3 linked regions of the Arabidopsis thaliana genome follow. The protein of the gene in region 3 interacts with the protein of the main gene of each other region in a pairwise test. Each region holds a gene or a part of one and is shown on either strand. Other genes may lie near its edges.

Evidence for each region.
Region 1: the proteins of AT5G43460 (region 3) and ESK1 interact in a protein complementation assay, tested with the Arabidopsis thaliana proteins (one large-scale study listed by BioGRID).
Region 2: the proteins of AT5G43460 (region 3) and NAC001 interact in a two-hybrid assay, tested with the Arabidopsis thaliana proteins (one large-scale study listed by BioGRID).

What each region holds. Positions count from the first base shown.
Region 1 is NC_003074.8:20,777,851-20,784,050, reverse strand, and holds ESK1 (trichome birefringence-like protein (DUF828)), read right to left. Parts: upstream 3,877-6,200; 5' UTR 3,642-3,876; coding exon 3,058-3,641; intron 2,955-3,057; coding exon 2,783-2,954; intron 2,645-2,782; coding exon 2,445-2,644; intron 2,347-2,444; coding exon 2,188-2,346; intron 1,469-2,187; coding exon 1,120-1,468; 3' UTR 818-1,119; downstream 1-817. Other genes in the region: CSLA14 (cellulose synthase like A14), read left to right, coding at 1-331, 409-589; SZF1 (salt-inducible zinc finger 1), read right to left, coding at 5,452-6,200. UniProt on the Arabidopsis thaliana protein: Xylan acetyltransferase required for 2-O- and 3-O-monoacetylation of xylosyl residues in xylan.
Region 2 is NC_003070.9:1,682-6,833, forward strand, and holds NAC001 (NAC domain containing protein 1), read left to right. Parts: upstream 1-1,949; 5' UTR 1,950-2,078; coding exon 2,079-2,232; intron 2,233-2,314; coding exon 2,315-2,595; intron 2,596-2,804; coding exon 2,805-2,924; intron 2,925-3,024; coding exon 3,025-3,414; intron 3,415-3,492; coding exon 3,493-3,645; intron 3,646-3,757; coding exon 3,758-3,949; 3' UTR 3,950-4,218; downstream 4,219-5,152.
Region 3 is NC_003076.8:17,458,184-17,463,877, forward strand, and holds AT5G43460 (HR-like lesion-inducing protein-like protein), read left to right. Parts: upstream 1-1,689; 5' UTR 1,690-1,823; coding exon 1,824-1,891; intron 1,892-2,585; coding exon 2,586-2,688; intron 2,689-2,773; coding exon 2,774-2,863; intron 2,864-2,955; coding exon 2,956-3,054; intron 3,055-3,204; coding exon 3,205-3,309; 3' UTR 3,310-3,790; exon of another isoform or gene 3,791-3,894; intron 3,895-4,058; 3' UTR 4,059-4,333; downstream 4,334-5,694. Other genes in the region: AT5G43450 (2-oxoglutarate (2OG) and Fe(II)-dependent oxygenase superfamily protein), read right to left, coding at 17-531; RPP8 (Disease resistance protein (CC-NBS-LRR class) family), read right to left, coding at 4,947-5,694.

The sequences.
Region 1 (6,200 bases), on a different chromosome or scaffold from region 3:
TTGTTGTACACATCTTCACATTCGTTTTCTACTGCGTGATTTTGCCAGCTACCGTTATATTCCCGGAGATCGAAGTCCCTAAATGGACAACTATCTACATTCCAGCTACCATCACTATCCTAAACGCTATTGCAACACCTAAATCATTTTACCTCATACTCTATTGGATCTTATTTGAAAACGTAATGGCGATGCATAGGAGTATAGGAACTCTCATTGGATTGCTAGAGACTAGTAGAGTTAAAGAATGGATTGTTACACAAAAACTAGGAGAGAGTAACAATCTCAGGGAAAACCTCATTTTTCCTGATCACTATAGCTTCCCCGAGAGGTTTGAACTTTTTCCCCGAATAGATTTATCGTGCGAAATGGCTAATCAATCAATGATATGATTTCGAATTTGTGCAGACTTCGATGGCGAGAGATAATGGTTGGAATGTATCTCTTCATATGTGGATACTATGATTTTGTGTTTGGGAGGACATACCTTTACGTGTATCTTTTCTTGCAGTCCATTGCCTTCTTTGTTGTTGGAGTTGGCTACGTTGGAATGCCGGTTCCAAGTACGCCGGTCCAGACTTCCGAGTAACCACTGACATATCTAACTTCTTTCTTCTTCTTCTCCTACACATTCATTCTTTCAAAAGGTTCGATTGTATAGTGATTAAAAGATGTGGTTTTGTGATCATGTTACTGTTTTAATGGAAGAATCCTTTGTAACGATCTAACATTCAAAAATCTTAATAGTCCAACAAAATAGCAAGAGATTGAAACATAATGACCTTTATATTTATTTTCCCGGTTAACAAAAAAATCGACCGTTAAAAGAAACAGTCGAATGTGAGCAAGTTTTACCCACTTCATTGAACAAAAAAAAAACATTTGGCATCCTTTGTTATCCACCTCATTTCAAAGTTTTAAGAGTACAAAAACAGTTAAAATAGCCTACTAGGCACTCTAATAACCATTAAAGAAAAAGAAAGAAACATTTCACAATTACAATTCAAGAAAAATTATGAACATTAGGACATCAAAATAATAAAATTTCAAGGCTCTTCCATTGGATGGAGCAAAGTGGGAAAAAATATTGAAAAAGAGATATTTCAAATATTTTGTAGGTCACGAACGGGAAATGATACGTGTGTAAAGGAACTCATTCCACGTGTCAGGTAAACCGGGAAGACACCAATGGATACAATCGGCGTAAGTGTTGGGATCGGCTTGTTGCTCCGGCGTCAGCATTTTGCCTTGTCGGATTGTGTGAACCGAAGTGTGAGCATCTTTCCGGTATTCGGAGAGTTTGGTAATGTTGAGAAAGTAAACCGGAACATTAAGAGAATGCGTGACGTTTTCCGCTACTGAAAACAGTCTGTAGTCTGTTCCTACGCTGAATGGCATTGACATGTTTAGGATTGGTGTCGTCTCTAATGCACACTTGATCCCATCTGGATTCTCCCAATCCAAGCTCCTATACAATATAACAACAAAAATTACAAACTATATTTTGTTAGTTAAGATAAACACATACAATTAAAAGTCTAATATGTGGGTGGTTCACCAACTCGTTAAAATGAAATACTATTTAGAGTTTTTATGTTTTTAGCTGATTTTTGTATACTGTGTGGATTTTTCAAAGGACAACGACTTGTTATCTCTTTTTCTTTTCTGGTAGTTGCTTGGTTTTCAAGTTAAGTTACGTCCGCAGGTTTAAAATATTATGGTCTGGTGTTATTAATGATTATACCAACCTGTGTTTTTTTTGTTTTGGATTATTATAACAAAAATAAAGAATTAACTAAGTGACATTATAATTGGCAATCTATCAATAACCTAATCCAGAGAAAAACACAAAATGATCAACCTTTTCCTGTTTTAAATCAAATCATATTTGAAATCATTTTGGTTTAAGGAAAAGTTTAAAAACTACTAACTCTCACGTATAATATTTAGCAGGTCAATTAAATGGAGTCAGGAGCTAGTAGGAATTAATTTCTAAGAAACGCATATGTCACTCAATCACTGAAACTAAATTATGTAATCATTTCAAATTTTCAATGGTGACACTAGTCAAACATGGAGAGTGACCTATCAATTTGTCAGTAATTTCAATTTGCAAGCAAAGCATCACTAACTAAAATCTGTGTATTGAAGCAACAATTAAGAAAAAAAGAAAGGAAGATTAATTACTTGATGTGAAGAGGAGACATGCTAGCAAAGAAGACAGTGGTACGTAGAGGATCAATATTTCGTTCCACCCAATCTCCCCAAGTCCTCATCACTCTCCTATACGCTACTGGCCGTTCGATCTCCTCATACTCGGTGTCTCCTTTATCGAACGATCCTCGTCTGATTTCATCGTCAATTTCCACAATCTCAATTCACAAAATTTGTAAAATACATAACACACCATAGAGGTAATAATATTGAAGTAGTAGTAGACTTACAGGACTTTCATAGCGAATGTGTTCATCCACCAAATGTAAGTGTTGAAAACAAGAAAGTCAACGCCTTTCCAGTTGACTCCATGCTTTTCAATGGACTCAGGCATTATTATACGGTTAAGTATACTATGCATATTTGGATCATCTGAATTCGATTCCACCAAAAATGGTGCCCAATAAAACTCCACCGTCGCATTATAATCCTTTTTAAAACCACCCAAAAATTCAACATTAATAACTAGAAAACTAATCCACACTTATCTTAACTACTCTCGAAAATCAGCAACTCCACTAAACACATTATCATTACTATAAGAAATAAACTAGTCGGTTTCAATTACCTCGACTCGGAAGACGGAGAGAGAACCGGTTTTGTTCAAGCTTTTTCGACCGGGAGGAACCACTGATTGAACCAAACAAACCATTGATTCCCATTGGTTCCGGTTTAGGGAATCTCCAACGAACATCATTCTCTTGTTCCTTAGCTTCTCCAACAGCAATTTCGCTTTGAACCTTCACCAAATCAAACAAAACCGGAAACAAAATTAGAAGAAACCAAAACTAAACCAACCCAAAGAATCGATGAAAACAAAAACAGAGCTTTTTTCCGGTTTACTTTGGTAAAGAACAATCTCTAGGTTGCCATCTCCAGTTCTGATACAGAGAATCTCTTCTTCCATTTCTCATGCAAGTGACTTGCGCCGTCAAGAACTCACATTGATCCTCTTTATACAATGGATGCGTCTCGTTATCAAAAACCCATTCTCCGGTGAACAAATCGCATTCCTCCGGCGGCAATTCCACGTCTTCTTCATCCTCCGTCGCAGCGAAAAGCTCAATCTTTTTAACTTCCTCTGTTTTCGATACCTCCTCTTGAACTGGTTCTGCTACGTCTTTAACTGAATCTTGAACTGAGTCTGCGTTTTTGATCGATTCCTGAATTGGGTCTGAGTTCTTGATCGACTCTTGAACCGGTAGTGTTGTGATCTCTGTGATCGGTGTCGCTTCGTCGTGGACGTCGTGAGGTTTTGAGGTGGAGAAAGGAAACTCTGCGATGGACTTGACGTCTTCATTGTACATGAAGATCCCGAAGAGGAAAACAGAGAAGACTACGACGAAGATTGAGAGATTACTGTTCTTCCTCTGTTTCATTGTAACTCCTGTTTCGAACAATGGAAATTTTCTTCTCCAAGGTTGCATCTGTTTGTTTTTTTAATATATAGAGAAGAATTGAAACTTGTAAACGAAAATAAAAAAGAAAAAAATAATTCTCTGTCGAGGCTCTCTAAAATGTCAGAATGTTTGTGAGACAAGGAGAAAGATCGATGGAAATATAAGAGCAACGAATAAAGGAATAAAAGAATTAAATTTGTGAAAAAATTGTTATTGTTTGACGTTAATTAGTTTTGTGATTACTAAAGTTTGGTGAGATGGGTTTATCTTGAACTGGTTTTTAAAGGCTTTCAGGTGAAGAATTTTAAAATTATATACAAAGTTGCTCTCTCTATATCGTTTTCTTTAAAATGTAACCTGATTCGCTTAACTAATCTATTTTGAAGTTGTTGTTATAGCAAAGTAGAGTTTGGAGCGAAGAGTGGAATCAAAGATTCTAAAAGATTGTCTCAATCCTCACCTAAAGAAAGGGACCATCGAAACAACAATTGTAGAAATTAGGATATTAGTAACAATTACTTTTGCTTAAACATGTATTTTTCCAAATTATTTACTTGTATACCACCAAAGTTTCCGATTGATTTACATTTTTGTTTCATAAACATAATGTTCTATGAAACATAAGGATCCAACATGAATTTAATGTCTCATGTGCCAGTTGATCTGATTATGTTTCCGGGTGTAATTCACCAAACATGCATATTAAAGCAACAAAGATCAGTTTTATATTAAACACAAGTTTACTCCTCCTAATCACCAAATCTAAAAGTAGATTAGTACCAAATTAATCTTACGTTTTGGGATAAGAAACTAATCTTTCGTTTTCTGTAACAATCATGTTTCCATCGCATGTTGAGGGTGAAGCATCAGTGTTCGTTAAGAGAGAAATAGATGTATATATGTTTTGCAAAATCAAATGAAAATTAAAAAGACAGGTCAAATACTCAAAATGATAATAGTATGAAGCTTTCTGTTTGAGAGAAGTAAAGGCTAAGGAATCTCATACACACATATATGTATACGGCACCAACCATTGCCATTACCAATCCATTTTATTTACATCATCTTACTACATATATATATATATGTAAATTTATTTATTTTCTTGGCAGAATTTGTATACTTTATTATGACTCCATTTGGTTTTAGACTTTTAGTTGTTCGTTCAACAGTTTTGCTTTGAACCAAAGCCAAAGTAACCCAACCCAAACCTCTGTATTTTGTTAGTATGAGTGAGTCAGATACACATCGGATATATCATACGTACTCATACCTTTATTTATATAATAAGAATTTTACTTGAAGTTCACCACGTGCGCAGTGATGTGTCTGAGGCACACGTGCGTCCCATAACATCTTTGACATATTTTCTATGAAAAAGCTTATACTGTATAGTATGTCAATCTAAGAAAATTCTACTATTTTAATGAAATTTTAAAGTAAGACTTTGTTAAAACATCACCAATTTGGGAAGTATGCGAAGCCTCTGATGACTTATGTTATGTACCGTTGTTGAGTATAGCCTAAAGCCTGTTTTGAAGCTCATTGAGGTGGCGTTGTGCATGTTTCGTGTTGATGACATGGTATATTTGTTTCAGCCATATTACGGTTTGGATTGCTTAGCCATTTCATGGTTTGATAAATTACAAGAGGATGAGAAACGAATATAGAAACTAATGCAATTAACTTCTATCTTTTCATCACGTAGACTCGTAGTGACAACAAACCATATACTACTAATAACAGTAACAACTAAAGAAAGTCACAAAAATTAAAGAATCAAATTTGCAGAGATGGCCCAAAAGCAATATATATAAGAAACCATCTTTGTGTGTGTTTACACCACAGTCTGCTCCTTCTCTCTGTACATTTGCTCAGCCCACGACATTATCCGAACCCTCTCATTCATTCCAAAGCTTCTCTCAGACACCACAGTACTGTCTTTAACTAAAGAGTTAACCCATGACACATCTGGCTCGTCCCTGTAGTCTCTAGCTGCGTTATTGTTGTTGTTTCCATGGATTCCAAAGGAAACACTTCTTCTCATCTTATTCAGCTCTTCTCCTTTCATTCCCCATTCCAGCTTCCCGTTTGGAGATCCCCAATCCGAGAGATTCGACTGTGGTGCTGCTTGAGTAGCTGGTTTGAAGCTCAAGCTACGTTTCGCAAAGGCGGTTGATCTCGCTTTCATCACTGCAACCGCTGCAGCTGCTGAAGATTCGAACCCGTGTTGAGATGGCGGTTGTCTCACCGGGGAAGATGGATAATGTTGGTTCATGTTTTGACCCATTTGAGAATTCCTACTTGGAGAGGAAACATAAGACCCGAACGTCTCTTCCACATTGTTGCCAAAACCGCGGAGTCTCAATTCCATCTCCATCTCCATATCGATATCTCTAGCGCTCAGTGTGGACTTCAATCTGCTTCCACCATTGAGCTGCAAAGCCGGTGGAGTAAGGGTATTGACTCTGTTCTGCCATGATCCGCCGTTTCTTGGAGAGGAAGGAACACCATTAGCCATTGGAGAAACCGGAGGAGTCGAAACTCCTGAAGAATAAGCAAGAGGAGACAACCCTGGCATCATCT
Region 2 (5,152 bases), on a different chromosome or scaffold from region 3:
TAATGTGTTCTTCCATCCACATCTATCTCCATATGATATGGACCATATCATACATCATCATTTGTCCAAATGCATGAATGAATTTGGAAATAGGTACGAGAATGCCAACAATGACAAGAAGGGATCAAAGACAGTTTTTAAAACAATATTTTACAGGGTTTTAATCTAATTCTAAGTTTTGGTCACTCACTTTGTTAAAAGAATAATTCAGTGTCTGGACACTAAAATCTTCCAAAAACCCCATATACATATATGCTATTTCGATACTTATATTTATTTACTCAGCATAAAAAATATTAACCATGTATTCATAGTAAAATGTTTCATGTGATATCAAACCAGCGACAACAAAAGTATTATTCCCCTCATTATGTTTGACTCCTATTATATTTTTATTTTAATTTTTTTCACTATCATCTTTCTTGCAATGAAAGTCCCATATATTGGTCAACATTTCAAACCACTTGTTCTCTTTTATGTTTTGGTAAGAGCTATCTTCTAAATTTATAATACGCATAAATTCAAAAGTAAAAGAAAATTTTGGTCATGAATGTTGTTTAAGTCATTTGGAGATACGAAATCAAATCTCCTTGTAGATTTTGTTTTTAGAATGTCGTTCCTTTTTCATCATCTTAGCTATATCTACAGCTATATATCCTATCTTTAAACCTATATTATTTTTTCCTCTCTTCACCAAAGCCATGTTTTTTAGTTGTGGCGAAAAATAAGAAATCCATACATCAACATATCGCTTTCGTTACCTTAAATTTTGGCTTGTTATGAAGGCATGTCATAACGTTTCTAGTCACAACTCACAAGCATACCAACGACCATGATAAATCCAAAAAGTAGAAACAATCTATTATCTAAACCCCCAAAAGACAAAAGAAAAAAGTAGAAAGAAAAGGTAGGCAGAGATATAATGCTGGTTTTATTTGTTTGTTAAAAGATATTGCTATTTCTGCCAATATTAAAACTTCACTTAGGAAGACTTGAACCTACCACACGTTAGTGACTAATGAGAGCCACTAGATAATTGCATGCATCCCACACTAGTACTAATTTTCTAGGGATATTAGAGTTTTCTAATCACCTACTTCCTACTATGTGTATGTTATCTACTGGCGTGGATGCTTTTAAAGATGTTACGTTATTATTTTGTTCGGTTTGGAAAACGGCTCAATCGTTATGAGTTCGTAAGACACATACATTGTTCCATGATAAAATGCAACCCCACGAACCATTTGCGACAAGCAAAACAACATGGTCAAAATTAAAAGCTAACAATTAGCCAGCGATTCAAAAAGTCAACCTTCTAGATGGATTTAACAACATATCGATAGGATTCAAGATTAAAAATAAGCACACTCTTATTAATGTTAAAAAACGAATGAGATGAAAATATTTGGCGTGTTCACACACATAATCTAGAAGACAGATTCGAGTTGCTCTCCTTTGTTTTGCTTTGGGAGGGACCCATTATTACCGCCCAGCAGCTTCCCAGCCTTCCTTTATAAGGCTTAATTTATATTTATTTAAATTTTATATGTTCTTCTATTATAATACTAAAAGGGGAATACAAATTTCTACAGAGGATGATATTCAATCCACGGTTCACCCAAACCGATTTTATAAAATTTATTATTAAATCTTTTTTAATTGTTAAATTGGTTTAAATCTGAACTCTGTTTACTTACATTGATTAAAATTCTAAACCATCATAAGTAAAAAATAATATGATTAAGACTAATAAATCTTAATAGTTAATACTACTCGGTTTACTACATGAAATTTCATACCATCAATTGTTTTAATAATCTTTAAAATTGTTAGGACCGGTAAAACCATACCAATTAAACCGGAGATCCATATTAATTTAATTAAGAAAATAAAAATAAAAGGAATAAATTGTCTTATTTAAACGCTGACTTCACTGTCTTCCTCCCTCCAAATTATTAGATATACCAAACCAGAGAAAACAAATACATAATCGGAGAAATACAGATTACAGAGAGCGAGAGAGATCGACGGCGAAGCTCTTTACCCGGAAACCATTGAAATCGGACGGTTTAGTGAAAATGGAGGATCAAGTTGGGTTTGGGTTCCGTCCGAACGACGAGGAGCTCGTTGGTCACTATCTCCGTAACAAAATCGAAGGAAACACTAGCCGCGACGTTGAAGTAGCCATCAGCGAGGTCAACATCTGTAGCTACGATCCTTGGAACTTGCGCTGTAAGTTCCGAATTTTCTGAATTTCATTTGCAAGTAATCGATTTAGGTTTTTGATTTTAGGGTTTTTTTTTGTTTTGAACAGTCCAGTCAAAGTACAAATCGAGAGATGCTATGTGGTACTTCTTCTCTCGTAGAGAAAACAACAAAGGGAATCGACAGAGCAGGACAACGGTTTCTGGTAAATGGAAGCTTACCGGAGAATCTGTTGAGGTCAAGGACCAGTGGGGATTTTGTAGTGAGGGCTTTCGTGGTAAGATTGGTCATAAAAGGGTTTTGGTGTTCCTCGATGGAAGATACCCTGACAAAACCAAATCTGATTGGGTTATCCACGAGTTCCACTACGACCTCTTACCAGAACATCAGGTTTTCTTCTATTCATATATATATATATATATATATGTGGATATATATATATGTGGTTTCTGCTGATTCATAGTTAGAATTTGAGTTATGCAAATTAGAAACTATGTAATGTAACTCTATTTAGGTTCAGCAGCTATTTTAGGCTTAGCTTACTCTCACCAATGTTTTATACTGATGAACTTATGTGCTTACCTCCGGAAATTTTACAGAGGACATATGTCATCTGCAGACTTGAGTACAAGGGTGATGATGCGGACATTCTATCTGCTTATGCAATAGATCCCACTCCCGCTTTTGTCCCCAATATGACTAGTAGTGCAGGTTCTGTGGTGAGTCTTTCTCCATATACACTTAGCTTTGAGTAGGCAGATCAAAAAAGAGCTTGTGTCTACTGATTTGATGTTTTCCTAAACTGTTGATTCGTTTCAGGTCAACCAATCACGTCAACGAAATTCAGGATCTTACAACACTTACTCTGAGTATGATTCAGCAAATCATGGCCAGCAGTTTAATGAAAACTCTAACATTATGCAGCAGCAACCACTTCAAGGATCATTCAACCCTCTCCTTGAGTATGATTTTGCAAATCACGGCGGTCAGTGGCTGAGTGACTATATCGACCTGCAACAGCAAGTTCCTTACTTGGCACCTTATGAAAATGAGTCGGAGATGATTTGGAAGCATGTGATTGAAGAAAATTTTGAGTTTTTGGTAGATGAAAGGACATCTATGCAACAGCATTACAGTGATCACCGGCCCAAAAAACCTGTGTCTGGGGTTTTGCCTGATGATAGCAGTGATACTGAAACTGGATCAATGGTAAGCTTTTTTTACTCATATATAATCACAACCTATATCGCTTCTATATCTCACACGCTGAATTTTGGCTTTTAACAGATTTTCGAAGACACTTCGAGCTCCACTGATAGTGTTGGTAGTTCAGATGAACCGGGCCATACTCGTATAGATGATATTCCATCATTGAACATTATTGAGCCTTTGCACAATTATAAGGCACAAGAGCAACCAAAGCAGCAGAGCAAAGAAAAGGTTTAACACTCTCACTGAGAAACATGACTTTGATACGAAATCTGAATCAACATTTCATCAAAAAGATTTAGTCAAATGACCTCTAAATTATGAGCTATGGGTCTGCTTTCAGGTGATAAGTTCGCAGAAAAGCGAATGCGAGTGGAAAATGGCTGAAGACTCGATCAAGATACCTCCATCCACCAACACGGTGAAGCAGAGCTGGATTGTTTTGGAGAATGCACAGTGGAACTATCTCAAGAACATGATCATTGGTGTCTTGTTGTTCATCTCCGTCATTAGTTGGATCATTCTTGTTGGTTAAGAGGTCAAATCGGATTCTTGCTCAAAATTTGTATTTCTTAGAATGTGTGTTTTTTTTTGTTTTTTTTTCTTTGCTCTGTTTTCTCGCTCCGGAAAAGTTTGAAGTTATATTTTATTAGTATGTAAAGAAGAGAAAAAGGGGGAAAGAAGAGAGAAGAAAAATGCAGAAAATCATATATATGAATTGGAAAAAAGTATATGTAATAATAATTAGTGCATCGTTTTGTGGTGTAGTTTATATAAATAAAGTGATATATAGTCTTGTATAAGAAAGGGATTTTACATGAGACCCAAATATGAGTAAAGGGTGTTGGCTCAAAGATTCATTTAGCAACCAAAGTTGCATTTGCAAGGAAATGAAAAGGTGTTAACAATGTCACTGCGTAACATGACTTCGATACAAAATCTCAAACAATACATCTTCAACTGTGGATTATGATGGACTTGGGGTTGCAGGTGATATGTCTATAGAAAAACGGGTGGGAATGGAAAATGGCTGAAGAAGAAAGCTCCAACTAAGCATCATAACTGGATTGTTTTAGAGGAGATGAGTCAAAGGAATTCACAGTGGAACTATCTCAAGAACATGATCATTGGCTTCTTATTGTTCATCTCCATCATTGGCTGGATCATTCTGGTTCAAGAGGTCAAATTATATATACATAACGGATCTAAGAAGTATAGTGTAGTCAATTAAAACAAAACGAGACTTGAAAATAAGCATAAGTATTATTAAGTTAACCCAATATTCGTTTCAATGCTTTAGTTATCATCAGAATTCTCAACATTTTCAGATATTTAACTTGCCTTTGGTTGCTTTCTCGCCATGGTAGTAGCATTCTCCGGATAAGAATCAAGGGGAGCCTCAACTTCGGCTTCAACCGTCTCCTCGTCTTTCCTATGACATTCACTTGGTGTTGCAACAATGTGTTGATGCCCCACATTCATAGGAGAGTCCCACATATCTCCAACATTCATAGGAGGGTTCCACATATGCCCACCATTCCAAGGAGGGTACCACCACATATGCCCAGCATTCCAAGAAAGATGGAGCGACGATATCGTGAGGAACAAGGTTTTTGTAGGGCAAATAATTGTAGGTGGTTGAGTTATATCCGCCCGCACAGAGTAACAGACCAACAATTAACTTTTGATATTTTAGTAAGGTCTAATTCAATTTTTGGTGGCGATAATATTTGGCTTA
Region 3 (5,694 bases):
TATATATAACATGTACCTGCAAGCTAGTGGGATTTCCTCTGGATTCGGAGGATCTGGAGCAATATAACAAGTGAAAGAGTCTCTCCAATTCAAAGGAGAAGAATGATAGAGATCGAAATCATTGTTATAAACAAATCTCTTGTTGTTATCGGTAGGAAGATATTGGTTCTTGACAACTGGATCTTGTTCATGAAACCTTCGAACACTCTCTTTGATCTCTTCAAGAACAGTTAAAGGAACATCATGATTGATCACTTGGAAAAATCCCCAATTCTCAGCTGCGTCTTTGATCTTCGAAATGACAACGTTTCTTGAAGATGTGTTACGATCTCCGAGGTCGATGATTGGGACGGTGAGGTTTAAGCCGGAGATATCAGAAGGTCTGTTGTTTGATAAAATAGAAGAAGGGACATGAAACATGCTAGGAACTTCGGTTATTTCGGCATCGACGAGTCCTTTCACTCCTGTCTTCGTCGAGATAAAAGTCGTGAGATCGTTTAAACGATCGATTTTTTCAGAATTCTCTGTCATGTTTTTTTCTTTTTTTCTTTCTTTCAAGATTCTGTTTTTTGTTGTTGTTCTGAAGACTCAAGAAGAAGAGGAAGATTCAATTTAAGACGGAACTAAAGATAAGTGTCGAAGTTTGTGGTGTCTGTGATTGAGAGCGACGTGTTGTGTTGTGCAAGGAATTCAAAGTATTAAAATTGACTTTTAAGATATTCCGACAGAAACAAAAACAGAATTGATAAGAGGGAGATTCAGTTTAAGACAGAACTAAAGATAAGTGTCCAAGTTTGTGGTGTCTGTGATTGATAGCGACGTGTTGTGTTGTGCAAGGAATTCAAAGTATCAAAATTGAGTGTTGTGCAAGGAATTTAAAGTATTTAAATTGACTTTTAAGAGATTCCGACAGAAACAAAAACAGAATTGAAGACTAGAAGATTGAAAATAAATTAAAAGAAAAAGAACCTTAAAAAGAAAACAATAAAAGTGGAGATGCGGGGTATCGATCCCCGTGCCTCTCGCATGCTAAGCGAGCGCTCTACCATCTGAGCTACATCCCCATGAATTGAACGAGTAGCAATTATATAATATCTAACGCGTTTTGTAAAGTATAGTAGATCAATTTTTCATGTATCTTATATTCTTATTCAGTACCGCCTTTGCCTTGTTGGTTGTACCAAGTAACCAACATTTGTATGGATCTTTAAATACTTAATGATTAAAAGATGTTTAATTATTATTATTTTGTTATATAGCTTAGTGCTCTAAAATGTTCATGAAAACCAACTTGAAAAATATTATGATAGCTAGTTTGTATTCAATTTAATTTGTGTTTGTAAATTATTTTTCATTTTCTTTACTATTAATTTTGTTTTATTTACCATTTTATTTTACGGGACCAAATCCGACTACCTACGAATGTTAGTAAATCCGGTTCCGACAAAATTACACATATATAAACTTTTTTTTTCTGAAATATGGTTCTCATATTTAAACCAAGATTCTCAAGTTAAAAATATTGTCCTAATATTTAATCCAAGATTCCCAAGCTAAAAATATGGTTCTTTTGTCGAAAGTAAAAAAGTACATATTCTTCTCGGAGAAATGAATCGATCGTGTAAAATATAGTTTCTCGTTGGGAGTTAAAATTTAATAAATTTGATAATGTTTTTTTTTCTTTTTTTTGAAATGTTAATAAATAAACCTAAACCAATAGAACCGCAGTTTTTCCTCCTCGCCGAAACGAAGAAGATTCTCCTTCTCTCCGTCAGACAAATCTACGAACAAGCGAGCCTGAGCTTAAGACCAAACTCATAGAGATGGGTTTCTTCTCTTTTCTTGGAAGAGTTCTCTTCGCTTCTCTCTTTATCCTCTCCGCTTGGCAAATGTGAGGCCTTTTTCTTTTTTCTCCATTCTCGATCTGTTCTCGCGTCTCTTCGTGTTCCTTGATTGAGATTTCGGATTGTTTTCCGATGCTTAATAGTGAATTGCTTCGTGCTAGATCTAATCTGGGAATTGAGAAGCTTTATAGGCTCTTTTTGATATCTAGGGTTTCGTGAAATTGGATATTTATCTGAATCTATCACGATTTGATTTTGAGTACTTGTTATGTTTCGATCTAGATTTCTTACTGTTATTGATTTGTATTTTGAGCTTGATTTTAGGTTTTGGTGATCTGGTCACTTTAGATTAATCAAAGTTTGAATATTTATGTATCTTGTGTTATCAATCAATGTATGATGTTGTTTGATCATGGTTGAATCTGGCTTGGGCTTATTACCGCATTTAGGGCACATATAATTGTTCTCTCTTATATTCGTTTATAGATGTCTTTAGCTCTGTTGTTCATATGGTTAGACGTTGAATTGGTTTGGTTATTCCAATGTTTAGTGGTCTAGAGACAAAGCATCATTTACTCTAAATGGAAGATGATCGATAAATGTAAAATAAGATTGTTCTCGTACTATTCGTTAGTCGTTACTAGGATTTTAGTTTGTTTACTTGATAGCTCAAAATATTATCTTCCTCTTTTGACTATATTACTAAATTTTAACAACGCTTATTTGGGGGAATTTGAATAGGTTCAATGATGGTGGTCCTGCAGCTAAAGAATTGGCTCCAAAGCTTGATTTGGTTAAGGCACATTTATCTTCTAGATTAGGAGTAACATTGCCCAAAATAGAGGTAATGACCTGGTTATGATGTTCTTGTCTCTTGTTCGCACTCTTTAAAAGTGTCTTTTTATGACTTGGAGAATGAATTTTTATAGGTGAGACAAGTCGTTGCTACTATTATTGCCCTGAAAGGAGTCGGAGGCTTACTCTTTGTTATCGGAAACACCTTCGGTGCTTATCTTCTGGTTAGGCTTCTTCTTGTTCAACTTACAAATAAGGGATTCAAAAAGCTTGCTATTTGTATGATCTCTTAAAATCTTAATCTTTTTTGTTTCAGGCTTCCTACTTGGTGGTTTTCGGTCCTATTCTCTATGATTTCTACAACTACGGACCTCAGGAACGTCATTTCTCTCTTCTGTTGACAGAGTTCTTGCAGGTTTGTCCAGAAACTTATTATCAATTATCGTAATCTTAAGAAACGCAGCTTTGCACCTTTAAAGTTTCAGCCTTGTAAAGCCAAGAGATCATACTGTTTATCACAATGGACAATATCTCGATAAAAATCTCATGCCTTTTGTTATTGCAGAGCGTTGCACTCTTTGGAGCGTTACTCTTCTTTATCGGAATGAAGAACTCGACACCCGCCAAGAAGAATTTGAAGAAGAGGACACCTAAGCCGAAAGCTGCCTAGTATCAATATTAGTTTTCTTCTGGTTTTGCCATGAGCAAGCAATACCTTGCCTTTTCCTTTTTTCCCGACAAAATCTTTCCTTAGAACTTTTGTTTTCTTTCTGTTTTAGGATTCTTAGATTAGCTCATGATCTTATACTAATACTGTGATTTGATATTGGGGATCTTGAAGTTTTGGTTTGTTGAAACTGGAACCATGCAGCTACAGAACAATGATTTCATGACCTTGGAATCCAAACAGCTAAAACAGAAGTTTATTCAAAAAATGGCTTCACTAACGCCTCATAAGAACCATGTTAAAGATCAAGTCTCTCTCTCGTTAAATTTTAAAAGCTCGGCTATTCCAATTGAGTAGTGTTGATGTCGAAGCTCCACACATAGATTCCATATTCCTTCCACTTAAAGACCTCCAGATGGGATTACAAACATACGGGAACAGAACTCGGTTGGTTCCATGAAAGCAGTGAATCATCAGGTTTTATGTTCGTATTTAACCAACTCGACTTCTATTCCTTTTTGGGCTACTAGAATTGTAAGTTTGAATAGGGTTGGACCAATAATATGAACGAAAATCCACCAATCTGAACTGAAACCTACTTCTTTAATTAAACAAAGTAAATTTGGGATCTTTTACAAAAAATATCGAAAATAACCTATAACATTGTAAGTCCATGCACTGTTATCTCTGTTGTTACTAGAAGGCATGGTCTTGTTTAGTTGTTCATCGGAATGTTGTGAACATATTGGCAGGTGAAGAATATTGCAATGGAGATATTAGATTTCTATGAAAACCATAGACTGTTCACAGAAGAGAGAGTTCACGCCGCCTTCAACAAACTTGCTACAAACCCGTAAAGTTTCGACCAAGGAATCTTTCTCTTCTTGTCTGTGTGATTTGTTCCCCTGAGAAAATATAATGTTTTGCCAGAAGTTTTGGAAATGAGATTACTCTGTTTATTGTACATCAGTTTTGCTCGTCTTGCTTCAACCATGTCTTGCCTATGCTTATACACAGTCAAAGAGGTGCAAAACTAACAAAACGTCAAAAAAAAACTGACAAGATTTGATGGTGTAAACTGTAAATAAAGCTTACAAAACGAACTGTGTTAAATCACAAACGAGAAAGCAAAACATATAATATCCAAATTTTACACAAACACAAAATATCCAAATTTTACAACAAACATAAAATATCCAAATTTTACAAGTTTCGTTTCTCCATTTTGTAAAAGAGTTCTCAAGCATGTTCCATGCATCCACATCAAAAACAAACAACAATATAAGCATTGTTTCTATAATATAGTTCTGAGCCGCACAACATAACGATGCACTGAAAAAGCGAGAGCTCCAAGACTGGAAACATAATCGTTAATACTTGAGAATCTGTATTCTTCATAAGCAATACCAGATATTCTTCGGAAAAACCTGTTGATCAGCAGATGACTCTGTTGAAGCAGCGTCTATATCTCCCAATATAAGAGAATTTGGCTCGCTTCTTGGTCTTTCCTGCATCTTATTTCAAAGATGATCGATGTTAGAACAATGTATAATAGTTGAGACTGTCCACATGACTTTCACACGAATCCAACAACAACAGAAAAAAACAAAGTGAACACTATACAATTTATTTTTTACCTGCTACTGGTCACAGTTGATAAATTGAACATCGGGAATGTGTTGGACTTTGTAGTAATCTTCTCCACCTGGTACCAGTTTCTCCTTCCACTCCCTCTTCATTCCTTCAATCTTCAGTTCCTTTAAGGATGTTATGTACTTGAGTCCATCTGGAAGTTCCTTCAACTTTTTGCAATCATCTATAGTCAAAGTACGAAGACATGGCATCGACCCTTCTTCTACTATCCACTCTTCCAACTCTGATTCTTTAGATATTTCTATAACACATAATTGAGGAAATCCGCCTTTTGAGCACACCATTCTGCTCCCTAGGAATGCCTTACGTGCTAAACGAACCGACTTCAAATGAAGCAACTTTTCTAGAATTGGCATTGGATCCTCTTCCATGCCGCAATAAATTAGAAATAAGTGTACAAGGTGGGGAGGGAATTGATGTTGATCAGGAATCTTTGACATACGTACTGCCAATCCCAACTGTTTTAGATGAATAAAATGATCCAGAACAAACTCTCCCATATAATCAACCATATATGTTTCGAGCGAAAAAAGGAAATTAAGCGTCTCGAGGTTTCGCAATTCGCGGAGAGATGACGATAGAGTTTCAAAATTGCACCTTTCGCTCAAAGATACAGCGAGATACCGGAGCTTAGTCATACGGAGGAGGTCTGTCACACTACTGTGTTGCGTTGAGAAACCATACAAGTACTCCAGGTTCACTAGATCACCCAATTCCAACTTGGTTTTATCATCC